3 linked regions of the Danio rerio genome follow. The protein of the gene in region 1 purifies or fractionates together with the protein of each later gene. This does not show direct contact. Links are inferred from orthologs where the notes say so. Each region holds a gene or a part of one and is shown in the gene's direction. Other genes may lie near its edges.

What was found.
Region 2: the proteins of ptpn3 (region 1) and vangl1 purify together in Homo sapiens (affinity purification with mass spectrometry; 4 studies listed by BioGRID and IntAct, with this or other methods). This does not show direct contact. The link is inferred for Danio rerio from reciprocal best matches to the Homo sapiens genes PTPN3 and VANGL1.
Region 3: the proteins of ptpn3 (region 1) and kctd3 purify together in Homo sapiens (affinity purification with mass spectrometry; 4 studies listed by BioGRID and IntAct, with this or other methods). This does not show direct contact. The link is inferred for Danio rerio from reciprocal best matches to the Homo sapiens genes PTPN3 and KCTD3.

Annotation. Positions count from the first base shown.
Region 1 is NC_133191.1:29,717,045-29,725,260, forward strand, and holds the end of ptpn3 (tyrosine-protein phosphatase non-receptor type 3), read left to right. Parts: intron 1-1,993; coding exon 1,994-2,139; intron 2,140-2,219; coding exon 2,220-2,355; intron 2,356-5,448; coding exon 5,449-5,517; 3' UTR 5,518-5,897; downstream 5,898-8,216. Other genes in the region: epb41l4b (band 4.1-like protein 4B), read left to right, coding at 7,390-7,644.
Region 2 is NC_133184.1:34,727,992-34,736,207, forward strand, and holds part of vangl1 (vang-like protein 1), read left to right. Parts: intron 1-197; coding exon 198-632; intron 633-1,894; coding exon 1,895-2,070; intron 2,071-4,462; coding exon 4,463-4,596; intron 4,597-7,823; coding exon 7,824-7,859; intron 7,860-8,216.
Region 3 is NC_133192.1:30,815,201-30,823,416, forward strand, and holds part of kctd3 (BTB/POZ domain-containing protein KCTD3), read left to right. Parts: coding exon 1-80; intron 81-172; coding exon 173-363; intron 364-1,812; coding exon 1,813-1,928; intron 1,929-4,114; coding exon 4,115-4,202; intron 4,203-5,585; coding exon 5,586-5,702; intron 5,703-5,786; coding exon 5,787-5,957; intron 5,958-7,066; coding exon 7,067-7,222; intron 7,223-7,353; coding exon 7,354-7,450; exon of another isoform or gene 7,451-8,071; intron 8,072-8,116; exon of another isoform or gene 8,117-8,216. UniProt on the Homo sapiens protein: Accessory subunit of potassium/sodium hyperpolarization-activated cyclic nucleotide-gated channel 3 (HCN3) up-regulating its cell-surface expression and current density without affecting its voltage dependence and kinetics.

The DNA of each region.
Region 1 (8,216 bases):
TAGACTGGGGGGATTTTAAAATGTCAGCGTTTAGATCATTCTGAGCTGAAATGTAGTTTTGAAGAAAGGCTGGAATGACATGGGCTTCATTTATAAAATGCATAAAAAGCTGATCTGATTTGACCCTCGGGATCGGAAAATGTAATGGGAAAAATTAACATGATTATACACTTATGAGTAGGCATGGGCCGGAATAGTTTCGGATGGTATAAGCTTGGATAAAAATACTACGGTTTAGTCGGCGCAATAGCCTAGTGGTTTGCGCGTCGACATATGGTGCAATAGCACGTCAGGGCGTCGCAAGTTCAAATCCCGGCTCGACGACATTTCCTTACCCCCTCTCTCTCTCTCCCACTTCGCTTCCTGTCTCAATACTGTCCTATCTAATAAAGGCAAAAAGGCCAAAAATAAATCTTAAAAAATAATAATAAAAATACCATGGTTTCACGTTATCACAGTATTGTGATTACTGCTCTAAAATAAGTTTTTTTTTTTAATGTTTGGGTAATTTTTTTTTTACCCCATTGAACACAATATTTTTTACTTTAGGAAACTTTAATATTTCAGAAAATGTCAGGCTAAATTATTAAAATAATTCATTAGTTTCAAAAACACAAATTTATTTACAACACATAAAAACATTTTAAAAGCCCTTATATATACTATAGGAACGGTATAACAGAAAAATCTAGTGGTTTTTAGCATGCCTACTTATGAAAATTCCAATAGAAAAACATGTGTGATTTAAATTAATGAATTTATTTATTTATGCATTTTTTGTGCTCCTATAACCAATTATTTTGAATTTATTCTAAAAATGTAATGTAAATAGGTAATCAGAATATGCCTTATTTTACTATTAAAATATAGGGATATTTAAAATTGTGTCTGTAAAACATTTTCCTTGATTAGTAGAGGTCATCCATAAAAATATGTGCAAAAACAATTTACAGTGGGGAAAACATTTTTCTCAAAAAACATTTTTCTATAAGTGCTGTTGACTTGAATTTTTTTCAAATATTATGCATTTGAAGTTATGCATAATAAAATAAAATGACGCAGGGAAAAAAGTAGGGAAGACACAAATAAAAAAGGTATAGAAAGACAGTGAAAGGCCAGACAACAGCTGAAATCTCTCAGTAATTATTCAGCAACCCTCTGCCCTTCTTCATTGTAAATTATTATTAGATGCTTCAGTTCTACATCTACATTGGCAGGAGGATGAAGATGAAACCAGGGATATTAGCAGTGGATATTAACGTGTGTCCTGTGACTTTTGCGTGTAAAAAGTGCAGTTAAACGCATGCGCTGTGTGTGTGTGTGTGTGTGTGTGTGTGTGTGTGTGTGTGTGTGTGTGTGTGTGTGTGTGTGTGTGTGTGTGTGTGTGTGTGTGTGTGTGTCTGCGTGAACTTTGTAATGACATTGTGTGTGTGACTCATCGTTGACTCCACAACAAATACATCAAATAATCATTGGGAAAGTGTTTATCGTAGTATTTCTCACAAACATTACGTGAGATCTGCTTTCTTCATGTCTGTCACTGTGCTGTTTATCTGACTCAGTCGAGGGCAGAGATTGAGGCACACTTTGAGAGGCACGTGGGAATGGTGGGTGGGGAGAACTAGCATTAAATATACAGGCAGCAAAAACTGCTAGATTTTGTTCAGAGTAGAAAATCCCAATTTTCTGAAAGGTTTAATAAATAATTTGATGGGTGTTTTGAGATTAAACTTTATAGATAAATTCTCGAGACACAAAAGACTTGAAAAGAATCTTGAAAATGGGGTAAAATAGGTGCCCTTTAATAAATAGACATAGGCGCTGAAAATCCCCAATGCTTTCATCTAAGAAATATTTCTTATACATTTTTTTTCTGGATAAGGAAAAGCACAGGCATGCTTAGACTTGTCTGCTTTCTTGCGAACTCATTCAAGCATTCTCTTGCACTCAGCCTCGCCCTTTCTCTCACTCTATTTGTTTTTTCATTCTACAGTCAGGACAGCAGCGCTCAATCACTCATTTACAGTATGTTGCCTGGCCTGATCACGGGGTACCAGAAGATTCCTCAGACTTCCTGGATTTTGTCAAGTCAGTGAGAAGCATGAGGCAGGAGTCTGTGCCTCTAATGGTCCACTGCAGGTGAGGGGACTTCCAGCACACAGGCAGACAGATGTTATCGGGCGCTCGTCTTACACAGAGCCAATGTGTTTTTCCTGCAGTGCTGGCATCGGCCGGACGGGTGTTTTGATCACCATGGAGACCGCCATGACACTGATGGAGAAGGAAAAGCCAGTGTATCCCCTAGAGGTCATTACCCTGATGAGAGAACAGAGGGCCATGCTGGTTCAGACATCGGTACAACTTCGTACACACAATCACGTACTCAAAATATAAAGTTTCAAAAGTTACAGATGGTCTTTCCATCCAACAGCTGATTTTGACTCAAACCTATTCAACTATTAGAGCCAGTTGGTTGTGTCCAGTCGAGATACAGTTGAAGTCAAAATTATTAGCCCCCCGAATTATTAGCCTCCCTGTTTATTTTTTCCCCCAATTTCTGTTCAGCGGAGAGAAGATTTCTTCAACGCATTTCTAAACATAATAGTTTTAATAACTCTTTTCTAATAACTGATTTCTTTTATCTGTGTCATGATGACAGTAAATAATATTTGACTAGATATTTTTTAGGAAACTTCTATACAGCTTAAAGTGACATTTAAAGGTTTAAGTCGGTTAATTAGGTTAACTAGGCAGGTTAGGGTAACTAGGCAAGTTATTGTATAATGATGGTTTGTTCTGTAGACTAAAGAAAGTAAATACAGCTTAAAGGGGCTAATCATTTTGTCCCAAAAATATATATTTTTTTAAATGAAAAACTGCTTTTATTTTAGCCGGAAAAAAAACAAATAAGACTTTCTCCAGAAGAAAAAAATATTATCAGACATAATGTGAAAAGTTCTTTGGTCTGTTTAACATAGTTTGGGAATTATTAAAAAAAATAAAAAAAATCAAAGGGGGGATAATCATAATTCTGACTTCAACTGTATATCCAAACACACACGTTTCAGGCACACACACAATCTAGCTCACAAAATCTAGGCAAACCATATATGGTTAATGACTGATTACTCTTCTTCAGGATCTTAATGTTGTCATACTTGGTTAAAATCATTTTGTAGGTAAATATAAAAAACAAACAATAATGTGTCACATTAAAATAAATTACTATAGTTAATAATTAAAAATAATATAATTATAAACTGATAAACTACTTTATCTTTTACTAATACTAAAGTGTAGCAACTGTTAATAATATATATATATATATATATATACACACACACACACACACACACACACACACACACACACACACACACACACACACACACACACACACCAGTACCTTATGGTTTAAAAACCCTTTGTAACAATATAAATACAATATATTACTTATAAATTAGTACAGTATTTAATGTAGGAAATAATTAACAAAAAAAAGTTGTTAGAAAATTAAGCAAAAGAAATATTATTAAATCGCTGGAGTAAAATATTAATGTAGTGTTAAACATTTATTAAATGTACCATTTCAGTGTTGATGTCAACGTTAAAACAGTTATCATAACATTATTTATCAATGTGTGGGTCTGTTTGGATTCTCGGCAGCTACAGAAATTAAACATGTAAAACAGGAAATACGTTGGAACCATTGTTTTTGTTTACATTCCTCAAAATGGTCTATACATATTAACTTGCTATTATTTCCTTCATTATAATAAATACATTATATTTAAAATAATTCTGTCCAATTTAGATTGTTTATAAATCTCTGAAAACTGTTTTAGCAATGCCAGCAAATGAGTAGCCTATCTGCCATATTGACCCTGTCAGATAAATAATGACTGATCATCTATGATGACTGATAGAAAAATGTCCAGTCTATTATTATATTGAATTATTATTATATTGAAACAATGTTCCCCATTCGCCCATCTCAACCGCCATATTTGTGAAATAGTATACACTTGTTTATTACGCTATTTATTGACAATGTATATTAAAAAAATATATTGATGATAATGTCTGAGAATGAGAGTGAGGAGATTTTTTTTTGTATAGCACATTTCCAAGATGTCTGAAGTTTCAATTTCACCATATGTTCATTTACAGTAGGCTTAACACTTATTTTATGTTGTTTATAATGAAAGCCACTAGTTTCTTTTTTTATTCTACTTAAAATGTTTAATAACCTCTGTTCTGATTACAGTTACATCTAAATGATTTGTTGTGTGTCTTTTTATTTGTTTGTATCTATTTATTATATTAGAATTCAATTATAAAATGTGACCTATGTATATGTATTTTTTTAACAATGCAGTTTTGACCATGCAGCTTATAGTCAGGTGCAATCTATTTAATGGAAAATATTGTATTTCCATATTAGCTGGGGTAAAAGTAGCTGGTTGACTTGCTATTTCAGACTTGGGATTATGAGATGTGCAATAAAATGATGCTTTAAAAGGTTAGTTCACCCAAAAATAAAAATATTAATTTCACGCCCTTACATCGTTCCAATTCTCTAAGACCTTCATTCATCCACAGAACATATATTAAGATATTTCAGATGAAATCTGAGAGCTCTCTGATCCTCCATATACAGCAACGGTCCTGAAATGTTCAAAGTCCTGAAAAGGATCCAAAACATTATCAAAACCAGTGTAGGGTACTTTTGTGAGTAATGCATTACAACATTGAGTTATTCCCTTAAAAAAATAACTAGTTGCGTTAATTAGTTACTTGTTATGGTAAGTAATGCATTACGTTACTTTTGAGTTACTTTTGTGTTACTTTTTATTACCTGGCTGAGACTTGATCTTTTCAGAACAATTTTTTTCTTTCTTTTTTTAATAAAGGAGTTCTGCAATGAACAATGCACCATATAACCTACATTTACCTTTAAAAAAACATATGGTATTTAAATAAATAACATAATATTTTAGGAGAATGATATCTGAGAACGTCCTGACCCCAGAGCTATACATGCCATACAGATTAATGAAGGTTTAAAGCCAGGGGTGTCCAAACCCGGTCCTGGAGGGCCGGTGTCCTGGAGAGTTTAGCTCCAACCCTAATAAAACACACCTGAAGCAGCTAATCAAGCTCTTTCTAGATATAATAGAAACTTCCTGGCAGGTGTGTTGAAGCAAGTTGGAGCTAAACTCGGCAGGACATTGGCCCTTCAGAATCGAGTTTGGACACCCCTGTTTAAAGCAATTTGTTTGCTCCATTGGGACAATCCCTTTTTCCTTATTCCCTTATAAGGGTCACTCTTGGTGGTTTGAATGTAAAATCCCAGTCTGAAATAGCTTTCTATGCAAAGGTGGGAAGGTTGAATATATTACGCTGATTCCTGCCATTGCTTATCCTGTGTGCATGTTTGTTTTGCAGTGTCAGTTCACCTTTGTGTGTGAGGCCATTCTGAGGGTGTACAGAGAGAAAGTCAAACCTAACAGTTGATAACGGGGACGGTAGAGGAGTGTTTGAGGACACAGAAGTGAAGGAAGAAGCTCGGCCGCTGTGATCCAGCTGTCAGTAAAGACTGGATGAAAACGAGGCAGGAAGTAGAGGGTGTGCCTTGAAAAAGACGGATGGGCAATCTCTTCTCTTGCTGTGGCTCTCCTGACAGCTGTGCGGATCAAGGAAGAACATGAAGCACTTTGACACGTAGAAGCTTATAGGACCCTACAGCACACTCTCTCTTGCTCTGTCCCACACACAAACACAGTGCTATATTTAGGTGATTCTCACAAAATCTGTCAAGACATGTTCAGGTCACATTTCATCCTAAAAACACAAGGAAATAAAAATGTCAAATAAAATGCAATCTATTTAGAAAATTTCAAGTGTGATTTTATTTTATTTTATTAAATTAGTACATTATTTGCTGATCAATTGTGCATATTTACCACCCCTCCCTTATCATTTTCATTACTGTATTAACTCCTTGGCTATTGTATTTGTATAGGTATTATTTACCACTGTATTACAGTAATGTTCTTGCAATTACATAATTACATAAATGCTTACACGAACAATTATATTTAAATGTACATACATTTGTCATATTACAGTCATAAGAATTAGTTTTTGTGTTTTATAATTGGAACTGGGGTGAGGTACAGTGAGCTTAACTGTCTTAAAGCACATGCGGTACAAACAGTTGTGGTGATTACAATAAGCTCATTAAACTTCAAATTTATCGGAAGAAATATATATTTTAATATAATATATTCTATATGTATGTTTGTGTTCTCGGACATTCTTAGTTTCTCTGGATTTGCCATGTATAGTTTGTGGGGGGAAAACGGCTGTCGTTTGTAAAAAATAATGTTGTCATTCACAGCATAAAATGACAATTGGTGACAATATTATTTTTTGGGCAACATGATACCAATTTATAGATCAATATTTGATAGAATAAGCCTTATTTACATCAGAACAAATGTAAACATTTGTTGTTTTGTTTACTTAAAAAAAGCTAAATTGTGACCTGAACACTTTGTGAGACTGACCTATGTGCAGTCAAATTACAACTAGAATAATTCAATTCACCTCTGTTAATAAATAAATAAATAAAATGTGCAATTCTTATCACGTTGTGCCTGTTCTCTTATTCATGGTGATGACTTTTGGAGGAGGGGAGGGAGCTGAAATGAGCGTGCGTGAAATGCTGACGACTGGCGCACATTGTTTCCTCGCAGCAGACTTGACGCAATTGTATTAAGGCTGCTTGATTTGTGCTGGTTGCTGGGGTATTCAGTGATGGTGGCTCGAGTGAAGGTAACCTGACGCCGGTCACTGTTTGGCTTACCAGCAGGTTGCGCTGCCTCGCACACACCGACCCGAAAACGGGAAAAAAAAAGTTTTGAGTGTTGCCCTGAGATTTAACGCTTGCGCAGAACAGGTTGCCTGGCCAGTTCCTCTGGTTGACTTACCTGAGAGGTACATCAGTTTCGGTCAATAACAGAGAGCAACTAACGCGACATCAGTCAGCTGAGCCTGGACTTCTGTGAGCGAAAGGAGAAGTTTAATTAAAGCGCGATCACTTTTTGGCCGAATCCGAGGTTAAATGAGCGGGAGGACCGGAGTACCTCATCTTCCCGTGGCTTCTGGCAGGTGTGCTCTTGTTTTGTCGCCCGTACGACACGAGGAAACGGAGCTCGTGACAGGTCGCCGACTTCTTCCCTCTGCATTGCACGGCTGAGTCCGGTAGACGCCGCCTTTCGTCGTCGTGGAAAGCCTGGGAAACAGCTGGATGCCTTCTTCTTGAGCGGTCCGGTATCGGTGCCGTTTTCCCTGATTAATTAAAGCGCTGTCTCGCGGGGGAAGATGATGGGCTTTCTGCGCAGGACGTTTAGCCGTCGGTCAAAAAGAAACGCTCGGCCGCCGAGCGAGGTAGACGGGACCGGTAACGTTAGAGGCGGAAACGCAGTGCTCCAGGCGCACCAGCAGCAGGTGATTCACGCGCCGACCGTAGTGACCGGGGGAGCCGTAGTGCACATCCCCGCAGCGGGCAACAGCAAAGACGCCATCACATGCAGAGTCCTGCTGCTGGACGGATCGGATGTCAATGTGGAGTTACCGGTGAGTGGAGGACTTCCTTGTCTTTGTGTGAGAGAAAAGTCACCTTGAGTGTTTTGAATGTTGTGTTAAGGGGTAAAGTTAGATTTCGACAGCCTGTCGCTGTGTGGCCGGCCGGATTTCCCCGATATTGGGTCCTGTCCCGGTAAACAGATGGTGCTCGTGCTCCCGTCCTCCTGTTTACTTCCCACCTATAGCGACCGCTCAACCTGTCACACACAAACCTGCAGATCCCCTCGGGCTCTGGGAGCTTTCAGTGAAAATGAAACAACCATGGAGAAAACACACACAGATACACACAGAGTTCCCCAGCTGATCTCCTTTCTCTCCACTTGTCGCCAGAAAGTGTTTTCCAGAAATTATTCTTGAATGAGGTCGACGAATAGCCTAGTTCAGAATCAGCGCTTAACCTTTGCTCCCGGTTTTGCAAGTCGCGCCATGAAATGCGTCGATTAGTTTCAGACTGACACTTCATCGGTTTGTAACCGTGTCCTGACGGTCTTACACGTCCTAGTTTGACTGTTTTGTTTTGTGTGTGAGTTTGAAGTGAAATAAATTTCACGTTTGTATATACA
Region 2 (8,216 bases), on another chromosome or scaffold:
TCATTAATATATGCTGATGAGGGAGACCTGGGTACTTCCATACTGTCTGTCTGGATTAACAGATTTGTCATTTCATCAGCACCGAGGGAAACGTGGGCTGATCAATAGCTGAGTGCTGCGCTTGGGTTATGAATGGGGCTTTTAGGAGCATGTTGAATTTTTTATGCGTGTGATCTAAGCGACTGATCTCTCGACAGGATGACAACTGGGGTGAAACCACCACGGCGGTCACTGGAACATCAGACCACAGCTTGTCTCAAGAGGACCTGGCAGGCTTTGGGAAGGACACGGAGGGTCCAGTTGAGAAATTAAACTGTATACGCTTCCTTCCGTTGGCCCTGACCCTCCTCTTGGGTCTGCTGGTCCTGGTCACCCCTCTGTCCTTCCTGATTTTGCCACAGTTAATGTGGCCGGAGCGCCTGCAGACTTGCGGTACTGCATGTGAAGGCCTGTTTCTCTCACTGGCCTTCAAGCTCCTCATCCTGCTGCTGGCCGGCTGGGCTCTGTTTATGCGGCCGACAAGAGCTTCTCTGCCCAGGATAGCAGTGTTTCGTGCCCTGCTGGGTTTACTGACACTCCTCCTGCTGCTGTCCTATTGGCTGTTTTTTGGAGTGCGCATATTGGACTCACAGGTAAGGGCACATGTCTGAAAATAAAAAAAGTGGCAAGAGAAACATGTTCTTGATGAGATCTGCTAAATTGTAGATGTGCAAATTGTCTTTTATTAGAGTAGATACTCTAACATACACATGTGATTATTATTCTTTGTGATGCTGCACTTAAATTACACATCTAACAGTATAATTTACAAGAAGTTAAGAATATATATGTAATATGATGCTTACATCAGCATTCAAGGTTTAGGAGTTTTTGAAGTTCTTCTTATTAGTAGTAGAAACTTTTTTTATCTTCCATGAATTTTTCTTAAATTTGACATTTGAACGTGTAGGATTCAGATTTTTGATTATAAAAGTGCATGAGAGTTTAACTGCATTGAAGAATTTGAAATATTTCTGTAGAAACAAATGTAATAATACTATGTCCCGATCAGATTTTTTTGCCCTCAAGTCTGAGTCATTTGATTTTGAGTATCTACTAATACCAAAACCCGATCCGATACTTCTATAATCCATAAAAAGAATAAAGAAGAGAGAAGGAACAGATCCATGATGTTCTATATTTTTTATGTCTAATTTACCTTATTTTAACATTCAACACTTCTATTTACAAACACAGCACTTCTGTGAGGTAGATTAAACATTTAAGTAATAAATAACATCAGTTCTACTTTGCCGGCATTTAACCAATAGCGTCTCTGCAACAAAGTGATGTCATGCCGGATGCGTTGCTGTTTCTGTGTGAAGTCATGAAAGAGGTCTAGCTCTGTGCCAACGCATAACTATAGATGTGTTAAAAAATAATGTACATATATATTCGAGTCCTGATCGGGAGGTAACATCCAATTCCAAGCGAGTATGAAACCATGTGATTGGGTCTGATTTCCAATCATGTAATTGAATCTGGACATCCCTAAAATGAAAGGACTTTATATTTAGTGCATTGAACTATGTTGGCCTACTTACAGTACATTTAATATAATCTTTTAACACAGTACATTCACATTAATGTATTTCACATTGTATTAATATTGAAAAATAATTTCCTGCATCTAAATCAGTATTTAATTTCTGTAGTTTCAACTATAATTACACCTACCCTAAACCTAAGCTCTTCACCCAATAAGCAGTACAATACACTACAAAGTGGGACTATACTATATATATCCTGAAAATGAAGATAAAACAGCATCTATTTTCTTTGAAGAACACCACTGAACCCAGTGCAGGTTTTTTTGATCCCCTTGGTGTATTGTTGCACTGTGTTTGATTGACAGGATGATAACTACCAAGGCATAGTGCAGTTTGCAGTATCACTGGTGGATGCTCTGCTGTTCATCCATTACCTGGCAGTGGTTCTGCTGGAGATCCGACATCTGCAGCCCTGCTTCTCTCTATGTGTCGTTCGCTCCACTGATGGAGAAACTCACCACTATAACATGGGACAACTCAGGTACCAGCTGATATTTATAAACAAACACTAATGCAAGAGTTCACACTTAGATATTGCTTGATAATAATAGCAGGTTTGGCATGCTGTCCTGGAAGAGAACCCAACCAGAGCTCTTGCCTGGTCAAAGATAAGGGAGTAAGGTGATACAGGTTATTTATTAAGTTTGGAATAATCTGATTGGTTTATTAATGAGTGCGGATGAGAGACCAGCCACGATCAATCATGTCACATGCTCCTCTCATGATTAGGTTGTGAAACTAACTTAAAAACATATGATATATGCTGTTTAAATGTTTTATAGTTCTGTATATTATAAGTTCCAATTAAACTCAATTCACTCTAGAGTACCAAAAAAGTTCCAAAAATTTTCTACTTCTGATTCTGTGAACTGACATATTCAAGAAACTTGATACAAATAAACACCTTTAACAAATAAACAAGCATTTGCAGTTCCTTATTGAAATCCAAGAAGTGTTGCATACTTTTTATTTTTGATAATGTTTATTAAACCAACTAAATCCCAGATTTACCAACAGTTTGCCTAATTTTGGTACAAAAATGCTTCTGTCAGCAATTATTAAAGACAGAAAAAGTGATGTGAAGTGTTCTTATAGAACAATTAGTTGCAGGAATTTACAAAAACTACAAGAGGAGAGTATGAACCCTTTTCACATTTCCAGGTTTCTCAGTAGTAGAAGGCATCATGGTTGGGTAAACTTAAAGCGCAGTAAATGGGAGAGTACAACAAATATTTTTTACAGCCCTGTTTGCTGTAATAATAAAAGAAAACTTCATGATGGTGTTAATAACACTTTCAAAAAAATAAAAAAAAATAGTGTGAGACTGATGACGGCAGCCAGAGGAGAGAATAATGTCAAATTAATCTCAGCCCCATAGACGCTAACACCTCGCATACTGTAAGCGGTAGTTCGTTTTTTAAGTTTTGTGAAACGGGTGGCAAGGTTATTTGCTAAGGTCTATATACTGGCATTTGTGACATTTAATGCATATAAAGCATGTCTTAACCCTTTTTCTTGACATGGCTGCTGGAAGGAGGCAGAGAAGTAAAAGTTTTTAAGTCTTAAATTAGTGTTACATTTTATTAAAAAGCAATAACAGGTCTTTTGAACTCTTGTCAGATTATTTTTGGGATTATAGAAATATATTCTGTGTCTGGCTTCTTCAATTTGCCAAATTGTCAGTAGAAACAACTGATTAACTTCACACTCCCATCAGCACTTTTAGGATATTGCAGACTCATGTTAATTTGCTCTGTTTAGTACTTCTGTCTTTATGTGCAGCCGTGGAAGAAAAAAAGTGTGTAGTTATGTATTTATAAGTAGGGGGTTGAGTAATTATATCTTTCAGATTTCTTTTTTTCTTTTCAGAAAATTATAAGGATGCTTTGATCGATCGGCCAGAGATCAGTATCGGCCGATAATCACTTTTTATATAATCGGTAGTCTCTAATCTGGCCGATCACATGAACCGATCGCAAGTGTTCGTTTACAGATAGAGTAAAGCTGCTTTTGACCATGACATGTCCACACTAAATGGTTATAAGAGATGTGTTGAAAGGATTATATGCAACATCCTTCATTTATTATCTTAGGTAAGTTGAGATCTCAACATCAGGATCATACTTAGAGGGAAAATGTGCTTTAAAAAATATTTAGGTTATATAAAGCCTAAAGCATCAGAATCTGTATTCGGTATCAGCCGATCACGATGACAAAGAATTGTTACATGGCAAAAATGCTAAATCATCTAACAACATTTTAAAAAATATTTTTTTACGAATTTAAATTCAGAAGAAGTGTCATCATCAGCAGAAATAAAACAATAAAACAATAACACAGCTACAGCATAAATTAAAAAAACTTTTTTTGTGGTAATTTTTTTTTTCCCAGGGATAGTTTTGCCTCTAATTGGGCTGAGATATTGTCTACATACATAAACTGTGTATGTGTGTGTGTGCTGTTTAATGTATTAATAATGAGTTGAGTTTGGGCCAAGGGAAAATGGTCCATTAATCACTCCATTACAGACACTCCCTACTTTGCCCTGCGTTGCTTCCCCTCTCCCTTCCTTTCTCCTGCCCGACGCTTTCCTTTGTTCCTGCTTTCATTGTTTCATTGGCTGAACATTTCTGATTCAGTGCTGCTGCAGAGTCAAGCAACAACACACACACACATATGTCAGAGGGAAATCTGTTAGTATCTGATGTCCGTTTAATGAAATGCATGATGGGATTGTGTTTGAATAGACAACCAAACCCCTATTATCAGTGAACATTACAAGGTTTCTCTCACCCTCTCTCTCTCTCTCTCTCTCTCTCTCTCTCTCTCTCTCTCTCTCTCTCTCTCTCTCTCTCTTTTTTTTTTCTGTGTAGTATTCAGCGGGCAGCCCTGGTAATTCTTGAGCACTATTATAAGGATTTCACAGTTCACAACCCTGCCCTACTGACAGCTGCTAAGTCCAGGGCGGCTAAACATCTGGCCGGGCTGAAAGTCTATAATGTGGATGGTGAGTTTAATCTGAGTCTGACTGTTTTCTGACCTTATGCTTGATTTCTTAAACAAGACTTTGTGATTGAGTTGATTAAAGTTGTCTATATGAAAGGTGTTCACTTTGATAAATATGGTGGTCTTATATTAAATATTTCTCCTAGATTTAAGAATCAATGTCTCCTACTTAAAGATTATTGTCCAAAGAATTACCTTTTAAGCTTCTGAAGAAAAGAAAACACGACAAAATCAATGTCTCAACCTGCCAATCAAAAGAATGAGGATTAAGAATGAACGATTGTTGTCTGGTTCTTTCAGCATTACAGTAAATTATCTGAGCAATGCAATGTACGTTAAATGTAAAATATTAGAGCTTTATATTTGATAAACCAAACTGACATAAGATTTAACGCTTATTTTTTAAAGGGCACCTATTTTACCCCTTTTAACAGATGTAAGATAAGCCTTTGGTGTCTCTAGAATGTCGTCACCTTATAATTATAAGATTCTATCTGACATTTTTGTCAAAATTGAGTTATTGATATATTCTTGTGACAAATTATTGACAAATTATTTTCATTATGGAAAGTTGTTTACATTTTAAGACTTTTTATTTAAAAATCAATTGTTACACACATACTGTTTGCTATGGAATGCAAAAACTTTGAAGCTCAATACTTCAAAATCGTTCCAAACGCGCATAGAACCTTATAATTCTAAGGTGATGATGTGTCTGTAAAGTTTCAGCTCAAAATACCCATCAGATAATTTGTTATAGCCTCCAGAATCTGCCCATTTTGGTGTCTTGACTACAGTGTGGCTGTAATTATAGCCTGTGGGTTTAAATGCAAATGAACTGCTTCTCCCTGCCCACCACTGCCACGTGCATGTCTGCTTTTGTATGTGTTACGTTAGATAAACAGTCATCAGTGATTGTCCGCCACCGATGAAGCTGAAATACAGCTCATTTGTCAAAAACATCTAGTCAGTTTATTTCATGTATTTTTGGTGGCATTAATTCAAGCCTTTCTGAAACGAAATTCCATTTGCAGTACACACACACACACACACACACACACACACACACACACACACACACACACACACACACACATATGCGTTTACTGACACTGTGCTGCCATAATGATTACAGCTGTTAAGAATTACATAGTGATTTTACTTTATTACAAACATGCTTTTTTTGAGACGTTTTAAACTTATAAAACTTATAAAAATCACAGAGAGTTGAAACATATTTTAATCCCAGTTTATCTGCAAAATAATTATTCTGTGGACGTGTGTACATGTTTTTTTAGAAACATGCAACCTGTCAATCATTTCTTTGTGAGGTAAAAATTGCACTCCCACCTCACGTTGCGGTGGATCTCAAAATCACTGGTTTTTGGTTCTATTTTAACGTCAGGAAATTTTAAAAAAAGAGACTTACTGTGTTTATATGACTCCAATATGACTCACTAAACATACACACAGTTCTGTCCAAAGAGCTTCCAAAAGTTGATTTTCATCATAGGTGCCCTTTAAATTCATAATTAATAATTTTAAAAGCAAATAAGTGGGTTTATTTATAGTGTGTTCTGTAGGTTTACTTATGGATGTTAATTGTTTTTGAGGTGACATTAACAGGGGTTAAAATGTCAAGATAAACAAGATAAAAAGACATTTAAAATGGTATTGCACCATTTATACTGAATCAATTATCATTCATGATTATAGTGTTGTGTGAACAATTATTTTATTTTAAAAAGTGTCAGTTTGCTGCATTGCTATTTAGATCATCACTTTAATTATGACATTTCTGACTGTGTATTATATGAATTAGCCACTAAACTGACAAAACATAAAATACTTACGTTTTCTCGTGAGATCAGGCTGTTATACTGAATTACTCACCCTTTAATTGATCAAAACCTACATGATTTTTTCTTTTTCCTCTGTTAAATACAAAAGAAGATATTTAGAAAAATGCTGGTTCCTGGCACCCATTAACTTCCATGGTTTTTTTTCTACTATGGAAGAATATCTTCTTTTGTGTTTAACAGAAGAAACTCATAAAGGATTAAAACCACATGAGGTAGAGTAAATGATGAGGTAATTTTCATTTTTGGGAGAACTAGCCCAATCAGCATATAAAATTTTGTTCAGTATTATTTAGATTAGATTAGATTCAACTTTATTGTCATTACACATGTACAAGTACAATGCAACGAAATGCAGTTTAGGTCTAACCAGCAGTGCAATAGCAGCATTTACTGTCCTTACAATTACTCAAAAGGTATTACAACACATTATGATGTTGTTTATAATAATACATTAATGCTATTTTATTTCATTTAAAATACAGACTTTTTAGAAAGTGTTAACAATTAATTTTTTTGATTTGTTAAATGATTACCCTTGATCTTTATCACTGTATACTGTATCAACAGTGTATTCTTATTTGTACAGTTTTCACTTGCTTGAGCAAACTTTATTCTAAGGATCAGGAAGGATTAACAAAGGATTTTAAAAAAAGCAACATCTAAGAAGGTGGCGCGGTAGTGCAGTGGGTAGTGATGTCACCTCACAGCAAGAAGGTCGCTGGTTCGAGCCTCAGCTGGACCAGTTGACATTTCTGTGTGGAGTTTGCATGTTCTCCCAGTGCTCCAGTTTCGCCCACAGACACGTGCTATAGGTGAATTGGGTAAGCTAAATTATCCATGGTTTATGTGTGTGAATGAGAGTGCATGGGAATTTCCCAGTGATGGGTTGCAGCTGGAAGGCCATCTGCTGCGTAAAACATAAATGAATGAATGAACATCTGAGAAATAATATCATCCTAGACTTGTTAAATGGAGGTAGACCTAAAGTTATAGTTTACCACATTTTTTTTTATTTGGTCAGCATATCCTACTTTACATATTTTTCCAAATTATTTCAGTTTCATGAATGAAGATCTGTTGAAGAATATACTGAAGAAAAACCATCATTGACTTCAATTCTATTTCTTAATATGGAAGTCAATGGCTTCTTTTTATCCCGACATTATTCAGAATATCTTGTTTTATGTTCAACAGAAAAAAGAAACTCATAAAAGTTTAGAACCACTTGATTGTAAGTAAATGGGTTAATTTTTTGGGTGAACTATCCCTTTAACAAAACACCCATTCACACTTTTAATGCAGCAACTCTGCCATGTCAATCCGTTTCCACCATCAATTAATACCCCATCTGTGTTTCTCTCTGCAGAGTTTAAAGCCAAACTGAAAAGCTATCTTTTCGATTGTAAGTTCGGACGATGAAATGCATTCAAAAACCCTTTCACTGAAACACTGAGCTGTGAAATGCTCCACGTGTCATGAGAGTTATTTGCTTGTGCATGCAATCATTGTACACCGTGCACAAGGTCACAAACTTTGATGATAAATTGATTCAGGTGAAATGAAGGCACTTGTACTTGCAATTCCCACAGTAAGCTGTAAAAATCTGCACATTAAAAGTCAATAATTCCCACTCACCCCAGTTCTCAACACACCCAGTATCTCTCCCTTTTTTCTCTCACTCTTTTTGACATTTACGATGTGCTGTCAACACAAGAAACGTACTCACACCCTGATCCAGAGATGCATATTTGGGATCAAG
Region 3 (8,216 bases), on another chromosome or scaffold:
GACCCTAGGAAGGTGCTGATTGTCGCTGGACATCATAACTGGATTGTAGCTGCTTATGCACATTTTGTCATTTGCTACAGGTAAAGCTACATGTCACGTGATTTTGATAATATAACAATAATTTTGGTGATAATAAAAATAATAAAACAATAATATTGGTTGTTTACTGTAGGATAAAGGAATCCTCAGGCTGGCAGCAGGTGTTTTCCAGCCCTTACCTGGAATGGGCCATTGAGCGTGTGGCTCTCAATGCTAAAGTTGTTGGCGGACCACATGGCGATAAAGACAAGATGGTGGCGGCATCATCAGAGAACAGAATAATATTGTGGAGCATCCAGGATGGAGGGAATGGAAGTGAAATAGGTGGGTGGACAGCAATGTTACAGTGCTGGAATTCTACAATATATATACTCGATACCATTTTCGATACTATAGGGAAATATTGCCAAAGCATTCATCAAAATTACAATATATATATATATATATATATATATATATATATATATATATATATATATATATATATTTATATATATATATTTGACATTTAAAGGCTTAACTAGGTTAATTAGGTTAACTAGGCAGGTTAGGGTAATTAGGCAAGTTATTATATAACGATGGTTTGTTCTGTAGACTATCAAAAATAAATTTAGCTTAAAGGGGCGAATAATTTTGTCCTTAAAATGGTGTTTAAAAGATGAATACCTGCTTTTATTCTAGCCTGAATAACACAAATATGACTTTCTCCACAAGAAAAAATATTATCAGACATACTGTGAAAATGTCTTTGCTCTGTTAAACATAATTTGGGAAATATTTAAAAAAAGTGGGGGGAAAAAATTCTGACTTCAACTGTATGTATATGTATATATATATATATATATATATATATATATATATATATATATATATATATATAATATATATAGATATGTCTTAATTTCTTCATGTGCAAACTATAAAGTGTTTTTTACTCTTACTCCAGTCAAGCCAGTGGTTCAGATTTTCACTCGTCCTGCCACAATGTTTCCTGGCCCATCCAGAAAAAAATATTAATAAAAGAATAGAGTGCCTGTAGAAAATCATTACACCACTTTGAAATAGTGACTTTATTTGTCAAACAGCCTGAAATCAAATCATGCTCTTTCAACTTTCCTAGCCTAAATTGTTTTGTAGCCTCTTTTCCTAATCTGTGCCTTTCTACAACTTTATCCCGAAGATAAAGAGATTTTCCCAGGATATGATGATTTTCTATAGGCACTATAAATAAACTCATATAAATTATTTGTTTTGTTTTGAAGCTGTTCCAATTTCAGTATTGGAGAAGTAACAACAACAAGTAAAAAGCAATTAGTTACTTTCTATTAGTTTAAAGTGAGTAAACCAGTTGCCTTGAAAGCAACAAGTTGATTTGACTTAAATGCCTCATATCGCCAAGCTTTCACTTTCGCCATTTTGCTTTTTGCTAAGCCATGACTGTGTTTGTTATTCTTTCTCCTTCTGTCTTCTTGCTTTCTGATTGGATACTATTTTGTTATAATCTCTGGCTCAAATGCATGTTTGTGCTTGGGGTTCCTACACACACATGAACAGTCAACACAGATATACCACATTACTTAACATTCTTAACGTAGGTCTAACGGTACTTTTGTATTTTGTTGCTGAGTAATGCTAATGACATCAAGTTGCTGCTGTCACTAAGAATAATCTGTTTACTATTGAAAAATCATTTTGACAACACTAGTGGACAGAACAGAAATGAAATCCCCAATTACCATTTGTTTAAGTCAATGTTTCTCTGTCTTTATGAAGGAGTGTTCAGTCTTGGTGTACCTGTTGATTCTCTATTTTTCATCGGGAGTCAGCTAGTTGCCACCAGTCACACGGGGAAGGTAGGAGTTTGGAACGCCGTCACACAGCACTGGCAGGTAAACAATTCAGATTTAAAGTATATCTATTACTTGTTAAAGCTGTTACTGGGTCTAAACTCTCTTATCAAAAATGAACAACAAATGTACAGTGTGCTGTAATACTGTTTCAATCACAGGTCTCAAACTGCATTCCAGGAGGGCCGCAGCTCTGCACAGTTTTGCTACAACCCTAATCAAACACAGCTGATCCAACTAATCAAGGTGTTCAAGACTACTTGAGACTGTTAAGCAGGTGTGAACTATACTAAATTATGCAGAGCTGCGGCCCTCCAGAAATTGAGTTTGAGACCATAGGTTTAAGGGATCATGATCATAATGTTTAAATCCTAGTTTAATCTCAGATGATCTTTGATTGTGTGATTGATCTTTTGAAAGTTGTTAAAATATTTAGGCGGCATTTACACTGCACTGTTCAAGTGACTCAATTCCGATTTTTTCTCCCATGTGGCACAGATCGGATATGGCCCATGTACGTGTAAGCAGGAACAAATCACATGGATTCTGATTTACTCAAATCAGTTTCAGGCCTTGTTCATATGTGGAAATTTATCCGATATGAATCTGATCTGTGTTCTCGTGTCTGCAGTGTTAGCAGGTTGATTGGATTTTCACCAATGCAAGTCGCGCGTCATTAAAAACTGTAGCGAATGACGTCAAGTCTGACAATTTAATTTCAGAACAGACTTCAGCAGAGTCCCAAACCTTAAATCTCTGACACGAGAACTTAAACAGCTTTTATATTGTCATAAAGCACAGGTATTTAAGCATGTTAACAAGAGCGAGAGAGCGCAGTGTCCGCCACGTAACCAATTTAAACTAATATAAAACTAGTGCATAGCTACTGTCACCGACTCGGTCCCAGTCATTGCCCTCGCTGCCCAGCAGAGGTCATCATCACCTGACTTTTAACATTACGTCATTCCCACTGACTGATTGGCACATACACCTGCAGCGCATTTCTTAATCACTCACCTCACACATATAAGCAGCACACACACGCTGCTTCAGTGCGAAGTCTTGTTCTGCCCCGGCTAACACTACTGAGCGTTTCTGATCCTTGCCTGCTTTCCCGCTGACAACCCCGGACTGTATCTCGACCTTGTATTGCCTGCCGCCTGCCCTGAACTCTAGCCTGTACATCAACTTTGATCCTCGCCGCCTGCCTTTGACCCATGCCTGAATACTCACCTTGTGTTTGCCTGCCACCAGCCCTTCGACTAACTACAACTGTGTGTGATGTGAGTTCGCACACGCTTAACATCTGTTTGCTTATTGTTATTAAACTCTGTTTAATAAATATACTGCAAATGGATCCCTCTGTGTCAGACCCTTCGTTACAGCTACATCATGTGCATAAATCACGCCATGGACATCAAGATACCTAAAGGTTTAAAAAAGCCTATATGTCAAAAGAAGATTGACAAATGAGAACCTTTCTGTCCTAAATCATAGTAAAACAGCTTGTAAAAAGCTGTGAACAGATTACATACAGGAATAGAGAAAAGAGCACTCTTTAATTATCAGCTGTTAGTCAGCGCCTGCTCTTTTTTTTTTTTGTCCTGATCATTTCACCTTTGCCTTGTGCAGTGTAAATGCAGACGATCAGATATGAGTCACTTTTAAAAGATGATGTAAGCAGGCCATCAAAAATATCGGATACAGTCACAAAATTGGAATTGACCATCAAGATCTGCAGTGCAAATGCAGCCTAAAGCGGGTCGCACACCAGAAGCGCCACTCAGCGGCGCGCCGCGCAGCGCCACGCAACACCATGTATTTTAGAATTCTAAACATAGGTTTCTATCAGGATACACACACCGGCGCCGCAAGTCGGCGGCGCCCGGCGATGGCTCAGGACGCAGTTCATTTTTCAGCCGCGCCACAGAGCGCCATCTGATTAGTTTCATGTTAAATATCATTCGAATGTGCGCGTCTGGTGTGTCATACTTTAAACTGTCATGTACGCGCCGTGTCGCGGCGCCGAGTGGCGCTTCTGGTGTGCGACCTGCTTAATTACTTGTGATGTGATGCAACAAAAAAGGGATTATAAAGAACTATTGAGATTCTTAATTCAGGCGAGCAGAGGCTTGGACCCAGAAACAGTATTCCATACATCATCACAAATGAACAGATTATCACGTTCACATTTGATTGTGTTGTTTACAATGTATTTCTTTGTACAGGTACAGGATGTGGTGCCCATCACAAGCTGTGACACTGCTGGCTCTTTCCTCTTGCTGGGCTGTAACAACGGCTCCATTTACTATATTGGTAAGCTGCTTAACTTCTCCTAGATTGCAGTGAATATATTTGTATATGACGCATATATTTAATGGCCATCAAATATCATGGCCTTCATCTGCAACCCAGTACTGGGAAACATCCATACACACTCACCTCACCCATAGCGCATGTCTTTGGACTGTGGGGGAAACTGGAGCACCCGGAGGAAACACACGCGACACGCGGAGAACATGTAAACTCCACACAGAAATGTCAACTGATCAAGCCAGGACTCAAACCAGTGACCTTCTTGCTATGAGGTGACAGTGCTAACCACTGAGCCACCATGTCGCCTTTCTTGAGATCCATCTGTTACACAATACATTTATAACTATATCTATGACTATATAATAATAATAATAATTCCCTACATTTATATAGCGCTTTTCTGGGCCAGTGTGCAGCATCTACCTGGATGACGTGACAGCAGCCATTTTGCGCCAGACCGCACACCACACACCACACACCACACACCAGCTGATTGGTGGAGAAGAGACAGAGTGATGAAGCCAATTATGATATGGGGAGGGTTAGGAGGACATGATGGACAGAGACCAGTGGGCAGATTTGGCCAGGATGCTGGGGTGAAACCTCTATTCTTTTTTCAAAGACATTCTGGGATTTTTAATGACCACAGAGAGTCAGGACCTCAGTTTTACGTCTCATCCGAAAGACGGCGCTCACTGAGCAGTATAGCGTCCCCATCACTATACTGGGGCATTAGGACCCACACAGACCGCAGGTTGGGCGCCCCCAATGGCCTCACTAACACCACTTCCGGCAGCAACCTAGCTTTCCCATGTGGTCTCCCATCCAGGTACTGACTGGGCGCAGTCCTGCTTAGCTTCAGTGGGTGACCAAGTGAGAGTTGCAGAGAGTTAGCTGCCAGCAATATCTATATGTTTATCTATATATATATAACTATATAGTAAAGAAGAAAATTCTTTTCTCAGGCCATTCACCTCATGAAAAATTAAATACTCATATTCTGCAATAAACATGAGCAATACTTTCTCATACGGACTTGTACACAGCACCTTATAACAATATATAATGCAATACTTTCTCATATGCATACACAGCACCTTATAACTTGTATATTTATAACAAAGGTGTACATACACTTGTTTTATCTAGAGCTCTTCTGTCTAATAATTGCATCTCTGTCTTAAGTTTGTCGTCTTTTCTCATATTTATTTTTACAAAATTTAAAAAATTCCCCGAGTGTGTAAAGCACACTTGGCAATAAATCAGATTCTGATATTTCTCCATATCATTATTGTAAAAAAACATTCCATAAAACTGTAAACGACTAATAATTCCTGTTTTAAATATCATCATTTTAAACACCTATTTTTTCTCCACTTTTAGACATGCAGAAGTTTCCGCTGAGAATGAAGGACAATGATTTGCTGGTGACAGAGCTATATCACGACCCTTCAAATGATGCCATCACGGCCCTCAGTGTCTACCTGACTCCTAAAACCAGTGCGTCCAGTGATAGTTAATTACACTAACTGTATGATCACTGTAGTGGTGAGTCTGTCCAGTCACTGATCTCTGTGTTTGCAGGTGTGAGTGGGAACTGGATTGAGATCGCGTACGGGACGAGTTCAGGGGCTGTGCGTGTCATTGTACAGCATCCAGAAACGGTTGGGTCAGGTCCACAGCTCTTCCAGACCTTCACTGTTCACCGTAGTCCCGTCACTAAGATCATGCTCTCTGAAAAGCATTTGGTTTCAGGTAATCCTGACAATATAATTATAGAAAGTGTTATACATACTTGAATTTCCTCTTGGCTAGACTACTTTAACTGTATGAGTATTGGTCTTCCCCAGTCAACACTTTCTCGGTTAGAGATCGTTTAGAATGCTGCTGCTAGATTTTTTAAGAGCTCCTATTATACATTAAAAAGGGTTGTCATTGTCTAATAATATGAATTTATTTTTACCTGTCACAACAACTCCCATATGAACCGTTCAGCGACTCATTTGTTCCTAAACCCCTCCTTAGCGCGAAGCTAATCTGCTCTGATTGGACCGATGACAGCCTATTGCGATTGGTCTTCAGCATTCAGTGAGAGACAGAGTGAAATGCCCAGCATGGCTTATCAACTATATTGAAGTAGTCAGAGTGCATAATGTGTGTGTAAGCATACCTGCCAACACTCCTGTTTTTCCCCTGAGCCTCCCGTATTTCAGACCCATTCCAGCCACCCACCCATTTTGTTATTTATCTTGGAAAACTCTCGTAATTTCAACCATGATTCACTGATCCATGCACTGATAAAGTTTCTGTCGAGCTCTGACAAGTCCCTTACATCAATAAAGTTTTTTGATTTTTGAAGTGTGTAGATTCCAGCACTCAAACTGCATAAGGCTGGGCTATAGTGCTGAGGTATTTTTGCAAAAAAAAAAAAAAAAAAAGAGATTACTGCCCTAAAATATATTATTTTTAAATGTCTGGGTAAAAAAATAAAACATTTTCCCCTTTGTACACAATATATTTTATTTTGGGAAACATTTAAAATATGTTGGAGCAGTAAACATGTCAGGCTAAATAATTCAAATGAATCATTGACTTCTCCCTTGTCTTTGTCTCATTGCAATGGCTTCCTATAAAATTCAGAGTTAATTTTAAGATCCTTCTTTTTACATACAATGCTGTTTGTATTTTATATACAAATCTATACATACAGGTCTATATTTGTGATCTTATTAGGCAATATACAGCATGTAGGGTGCTAGGATTCTCCAAAATCTTGTCCAAGTATAGCATGGTACAGCAACAAGAAAATTTTTTTAAAATTTCACTGACCTCCACTGGGTAATATCGGTCTTGTTTTGTTGAAGTGTGTGCTGACAATAACCATGTACGCACATGGACGGTGACGCGGTTCAGAGGCATGATCTCCACTCAGCCAGGATCGACTCCGCTGGCCTCATTTAAGATCATCTCGTTGGAGGAAACAGAAAGCCACAACAGCTATTCCTCTGGAAATGACATCGGTGAGGGAGTAGTTTTCTTTCTTAGGAGGAACTAACAATTAGGTAGAACCACCTGCTATTCTTCATTATTCTGTAAACTGCACTGCTGTTGTGAGCAAACCAGTGAAATATAACTTCATGTCTGCATTCAGGCCCATTTGGAGAAAGAGATGACCAACAGGTGTTCATTCAGAAAGTCATTCCCATCACCAACAAACTCTTTGTTCGTCTGTCCTCTACAGGAAGGAGGTACATGACCTGTCACATTGATTGAATAATCATTTGATTGTCGTTAATAACTATTTGAGATAACCATTCAGTTATTTAAATTATTTGAGATAACCAAGATATTTGTGCAGTGTAATGTATTTTTTCAAAAATGTAAGCACATTAAGGCATGCACAAGTTATTGGCATTTATCACTTACATGTTCTTCAAATGACACACTTCAAAATGCTTCATTTTTACAATTAAAAGACTGGTTTACCCAGAAATAAAAAAAAATGTTATTAATGACTCACCCTTATATTGTTCCAATCCCCTGAGACCTACATACATCATTGGAAAAAGACCAGAAAAGGAACCTAAAACATTGTCAAAGTGACTTTGGTGGTTTAACTGTAATCAGTTGAAGCTGCAGCACATTTGTGTGGCAAAAAAGAAGAAAATATAACTTTGTGTGCCAATATCATCTCTAGATCGCTGGACTAGTATGGGTGTTTACTATAGGCCATACACCTAATCTGGTGTAAAATACATAGCCTAAAGACACTTTTTTTAATTATTATAATTTGCTGAAGTCTATAAAACTACTGAAGTCACATGGAATGTTTTCAAAGTGTTTTTGTTTCTTTTTCTACACTCAGAAACGTTCCTGTATATGGAGAATGAGAAATTTAATCTAAAATATCTAAGTTTTTGTTGTGAAAATGATTAAAGGTCATGAACACAACTTTCATTTTATTAACAGAATCATAATTTTTGGGTGAACTAATCTTTTAACGTCATTGCAGTC